Saccharomyces cerevisiae S288C: one gene and its partner. Each later gene encodes a partner of the first gene's protein in a complex. Each region holds a gene or a part of one and is shown on either strand. Other genes may lie near its edges.

Evidence for each region. Proteins that work in one complex are often made in the same cells at the same time.
Region 2: MRPL16 (region 1) and MRPL51 share a complex: the UniProt entries of both Saccharomyces cerevisiae proteins name them as parts of the mitochondrial large ribosomal subunit.

What each region holds. Positions count from the first base shown.
Region 1 is NC_001134.8:144,423-147,396, forward strand, and holds MRPL16 (mitochondrial 54S ribosomal protein uL16m MRPL16), read left to right. Parts: upstream 1-1,764; coding exon 1,765-2,463; downstream 2,464-2,974. Other genes in the region: CTP synthase URA7, read right to left, coding at 1-1,306; APL3 (Apl3p), read left to right, coding at 2,787-2,974. UniProt on the Saccharomyces cerevisiae protein: Component of the mitochondrial ribosome (mitoribosome), a dedicated translation machinery responsible for the synthesis of mitochondrial genome-encoded proteins, including at least some of the essential transmembrane subunits of the mitochondrial respiratory chain.
Region 2 is NC_001148.4:727,843-730,724, forward strand, and holds MRPL51 (mitochondrial 54S ribosomal protein mL43 MRPL51), read left to right. Parts: upstream 1-1,948; coding exon 1,949-2,371; downstream 2,372-2,882. Other genes in the region: LEC1 (Lec1p), read left to right, coding at 1-773; TMH18 (Tmh18p), read right to left, coding at 1,105-1,543, 1,640-1,686; YPR099C (uncharacterized protein), read right to left, coding at 1,915-2,271; SNT309 (Snt309p), read left to right, coding at 2,650-2,882. UniProt on the Saccharomyces cerevisiae protein: Component of the mitochondrial ribosome (mitoribosome), a dedicated translation machinery responsible for the synthesis of mitochondrial genome-encoded proteins, including at least some of the essential transmembrane subunits of the mitochondrial respiratory chain.

The sequences.
Region 1 (2,974 bases):
TTTCATCAATGTCTGGATAAAATTCTGCCGAATGACTGTCTTTTCTTCCCAACACACTACGTGTAAATTCAATGGTGGCAATTTGTAAACCCAGGCAAACCCCTAAGAATGGAATGTGATTTTCACGAGCCCATCTAGCAGCCAAAACCATACCTTCAGTACCTCTAACACCAAAACCACCGGGGATTAAGATACCGTCTGCGGTACTGACCATGTTCCATGCTTCATGAAATTTAGTTTTGTTGCTTTCTTGTGCTTCAGGTTCCAAATCAGTAGCTTCCACCCATTTAATGTCTAACTTACGACGACACTTCATGGATGAATGTTCCAATGCTTTTATCACTGATAGATAAGAATCTTTCAAGTTGGTGTATTTCCCAACCAAAGCAATCTTCACTGTTTCCATGGATTCATCGAAGTTACCTGTTGTGGCCTTCCATTTAGACAATAATTCCAGGCCTCTTTGTTTTTCTTCTTCTGTAAGTGATATTTCATCTAACTTTAATCTGGCGTGTAAGTAATCAATCATCTTTTGTTCCAGTAGCAACAATGGGACGTGATAAGTAGAATTAACATCGTGAACGTTAACCACCTGTTCAGGCCCCACATGACAAAACATGGCAATCTTATCGATTGTTGGTTTATCCAAAGTTTCACTACATCTACAGGCGATCATATCTGGAACTAAACCAAGAGACCTCAAACCTTTGATGGCAGCTTGAGTTGGCTTAGTTTTTTGTTCACCGTGGATGACAGGAACTAGAGAAACGTGTATCAAGGCAAAATTTTCCTTTCCAACTTTAAATTGGAATTGTCTTAGTGCCTCCACAAAAGGAGCACTTTCAATGTCACCAACTGTCCCACCCAATTCAATGATACAAACATCTGGTTCCATACCGGTGTCATCTACAGGAATTTTGGCCACGCGCTCAATCCAATCTTGGATAGCGTTGGTCAAATGAGGGACAATTTGCACGGTTTTGCCTAAATAGTCACCTTTTCTTTCCTTAGCAATAACGTGCGAGTATATTTTACCAGTAGTAATGTTATGATCTTTAGTCAAAGTAACTCCAAGGTATCTCTCGTAGTTACCCAAGTCCAAATCTGTTTCACCACCGTCGTCAAGCACGAAACATTCACCATGTTCCAAAGGAGACATAGTACCTGCATCAATGTTCATATAAGGGTCAATTTTAATTGACGTAACCTTTAAACCGAGGGTTTTCATTAGCATACCAGTTGAAGATGCAAGAACACCTTTACCGATACCCGAAATGACACCACCTGAAACAACAACGTACTTCATTTTCTGTCTATAAGTTTCTTTTGTTCTATTGACCAATTCACTGAGAAACTGCCTGAAACTTTTTCGACCTTAGAATGGCAGAAAAATGGCAAATACTGTAAAATACTTAACATTTAACTAAATTTTATTCTATGCTTTTCCTCTCGATGAGATGAGCTGTGAAAAATTTTGAAAAAAAAAAAAAAAAAAAAAAAAAAAAAAATTTGTTATCACCAATAACGAGAAACCTAACTCTAAAACTTAGGGTCAAAGAACAGAACCCTAGGCTTTGTATCCAGTTGAATCACTAATTACGAAAGAATGCTGGTGGAAATAATAATATCATATTGGTGCTCAAATAACAAGAAGACTTCTTTGGAAGAAATTATTACCAATTAACAGTCCACTTGTAGAGCGTACATATTGCCGGGAAGTTGATTACCTTTCACCAGAGGTACAGAGGAATAGAATTTTGCAACATGTTCCCCTATTTAACAAGAATGAATTTATCCATAAAGATGGGAGGGCTAACTTTAAAAGAAAGTTCCCCCAATGCTTTTTTAAATAACACCACTATTGCTAGGAGATTCAAGCATGAATATGCCCCACGTTTCAAAATCGTACAGAAAAAGCAAAAAGGTAGAGTGCCAGTTCGTACAGGTGGTTCAATAAAGGGATCCACTTTGCAATTTGGTAAGTACGGATTACGACTGAAAAGCGAAGGTATTAGGATATCCGCGCAACAGCTGAAGGAAGCAGATAACGCAATTATGAGATATGTCAGGCCTTTAAACAATGGTCATTTGTGGAGGCGTTTGTGTACAAACGTTGCTGTATGTATCAAGGGTAACGAAACAAGAATGGGTAAAGGTAAAGGTGGGTTTGACCACTGGATGGTGAGGGTACCCACAGGGAAGATCCTTTTCGAAATAAATGGTGATGATTTGCATGAAAAAGTCGCACGGGAAGCCTTCAGAAAAGCAGGCACCAAGTTACCTGGGGTATATGAATTTGTATCCTTGGATTCTCTGGTTAGAGTTGGATTACATAGTTTCAAAAATCCTAAAGACGACCCAGTGAAGAATTTTTACGATGAAAATGCAAAGAAGCCATCAAAGAAGTATTTGAATATTTTAAAGTCTCAAGAACCACAGTACAAACTCTTCAGAGGACGTTGAACGGATTGAACACACCATGTATACATGTATATAACTATTGAAAAATATCGATATTCACAATCAAGTAATCTAGCCATGGCTATGAGTTTATTAATTCTAGTATGCACTGTATACTCTCTGCGGAAGAATAGGAGTTTTTCCCCGGAGTGAGCGCTGAAGAAACACATGACGACGTGAAAAAACACTTGTTTGATCCAGCTGAGGTATAAACACTGAGAAATATTTGAGGGTCAAAGAAGCACTAGGAACGTTACAGTTGGAATTTGCTAGTCAATCGAGTTTCCAATTTCGCAACCTTTATTATAGTACTAATCTTATAAGCCATGGATCGCAAAAAAACACTTATAAACTCAAGTGTTTCTAATAATAACAGTACCATCAAGGGCCTACAGTTATTCATTGCAGATCTTCGTTCTGCACAACAAGCACAAGAGCAGGAAAAGAGAATACAATCTGAAATTGTCAAAATTAAACAGCATTTCGATGCTGCAAAGAAAAAACAAGGCAATCA
Region 2 (2,882 bases), on another chromosome or scaffold:
AGGCAATTGTCACTATGATTTACGAACCTATGGTCAAGATCTTCAAAGTTGCAAGGATGGATGTTGCTTTGAAAAATTTTGAGAAGTTCATGAGTGATTTGATCAGGCTTGTTGATGATGTTATCAATGGTCAGTTGGGCGTTTCCACACAGTTCGATGTCGTGGAAGAAATCCATAACTTAGTAACCAAACATCAAGATGCCTTTTTTGAGTTTATTCATGATGTATATTTGAACGATTCAGAGGGCATTTTTGAAGGTTTTATTACTTGGATTACTACGATAGTGAAATTTTTGCAAAAGAGTAAATTCGGAGGACCGAGTGAAAGGATCGACTTCAATAAGTTAATTTGTAGAGATGATATCGATATTGATGTCAAACTTTTGAAAGTTCAAGTTAATAATGTTCTTAATAAAAAGATTGGTGCGAGAAAAATCTATAAGAAGTTGTTAGATTTGAAGGTTAAACAAGGTACTAAACAAAATAACAAACACGCTGCTGGCATACTTCAAAAGAATTGGAGTGACATAAACTCCTTGGTTATGCCATCCAGCTCTGGATCTTTTGGACTTGGAGATGGTGATTTGGTGGATTTGGATCTCGATACAGGTGATTACGATTTTTTACATAAAGAGAATGAAGTTGAATTAGAAAAGCAATACAAAGATTTATTGAATCTTGTTGTTGATGAAAGTGAAATTGATAAATTGAGATCTCAAGTTTTCGCACAGGAATTAAAAAATTATTTAGAAGCTCAAATTGCTAAAAAGTAGGCCCTTTCTAGTATCTCCTTTATTCGTTTTTATTCGTTACGATTTTCCGGCTTAATAATATAGGATTGCTAGGTCTATATATAAGAAAAGCTTGTAGAAATAAAAAAATAGAAAAAACTTCAAGATAAATATTGTTCTCTTTTATTTTAAGATCCTACAAACAGCACAATTCCCCTTTTAGTTATTTTTAGCCAAGATCAGGATAGCAGAGAACTGAGTCCCTTATTCTTTAATTGAGGGTCAAAAAATTCCGATTGCGAACTTCATCTCCACCTTGGCAAAGGAATGACGAAAAAATGATCTTGCATATATATATTTACTTGTAAAATAATTATTTTGGAATTTTTCTTAACAAACCACCTGACAAACAAACACCGTACGCAAGCATCCCGCAAACATTAGAAAGATTGAACAAAAGACTCAATCCGTGCGACTTGCCAAATTCTTTACGTAATATAGCATCCTTTGCTTCCAATTCACTACCCGTGTATTTCTTCGCAATATTCTTTCTTTGTTCTTTAACTTTATGGGTCCAGGGCAACAACCAAAACAAATTGGTTAGCCCACTGACAGATGCAACCACCAAAGAAGATAATGGTCCTGTTGTCAAGGCAATTGGAGCGGTAAGGGCCAGGATGACAGGTGATGCCGCTTGCATTTGGAAAAAATACGGGAAGATCTTATTTTGCAAAGCAGAAAATTGGTCTTTTTCAAGAACTTTGAATGCGATTGGAGAAGCTACATAGGAATAAAACGTCGTTCCTCCAAATCTGAAAGATTAAGTTGGTACATAAAAGTTGTTAGTCAGTTATTCTCAATTAATCATAATTGTTCAAATTTTTTCTTGTGTCTTAATCTGTACATACACAAAGGAATAAAAAAGCAAATGAGCCGTAGTTTTGACTAAACACATTTTTCGTTGTTAAGTTTACTGGACTGTAAAGCGTAGTTTGATCTGCCTATATCATCAAACAACTCCATTTAACTCCCTTAAATAATACTATTCTTTTCTGTAAGTTTATCGCACTATACGTTACGGTGCTTTCCGTCTTTTTCGGATGAGGGATGCTCATAAGAATTACAACAAATCATAAGCCCTGAGATAAAAAAGATCAATCAATACGATTATCATAAACCATGACTAAGTAGATACACAGACACGAATATATGGAGAAATGGTTGTGAAAGCTATTGCACGAAATTCCATAGGTCGTAATGGAGTTGGAGCATTCGTGTTTCCATGCAGAAAGATTACTTTGCAATTCTGTAACTGGGGAGGGTCTTCGGAAGGCATGAGGAAATTTTTGACTTCAAAGAGATTAGATAAATGGGGCCAGGAGTTCCCATGGATACAGTTTGAAGTGATGAGGAAGTCTGGACATCCTTTGTTGAGGGCAGAATACACAAATGGGCGTGAAAAAGTTATTTGTGTGAGAAACTTGAACATTGACAATGTAGAAAACAAGCTAAAGCTATTGAAGGATTCTGATGGAGACATTTTACGCAGAAGAACAAAGAATGATAACGTGGAAAGCTTGAACAGTAGTGTGAGGGGTATATGGTCGCCTCTGCATGCTGCGAAAAGGCATAGAATTTAGCTTTAGTATATAAGAAAATTCTAGAAATAGAGAGAGATAATTATACTTGTATATATAATTTGGGGCAGATAAGACTCCTGATATTTAAGATTTAAAGTCAATTTTGCCATTGTTATATGATCATGTCCTGAAATATGACCTCTTGTATTTGGTTACCCGCTTTACACCCTGCAAATCACACTAGTCTAATAAATATGGAATAAGACTGAAACATATAAAAGATGTAACTTCTAGGATATCTGAAAGAGCAACCGTACGGTATTCAACGTTTAGATTTGATGGACGGCCTTAGCTTTGTTGATAAAGGGAAAATACCAGATGGTTACAAAAATGAAATAGATCAATTAGTAAAGAAGGAATTTGCGAATATAAAAAGAGAGCCTGTTCATCCCGAAATACGAGGTATACTTGCGAAGAGAAAGGGGGCCGATAATAGTGTTTCTACGCTTACAAATGCATTGTACACCGAATACTTGAAACAACGTAATAACAAAAAAAGGCGAACACCGGA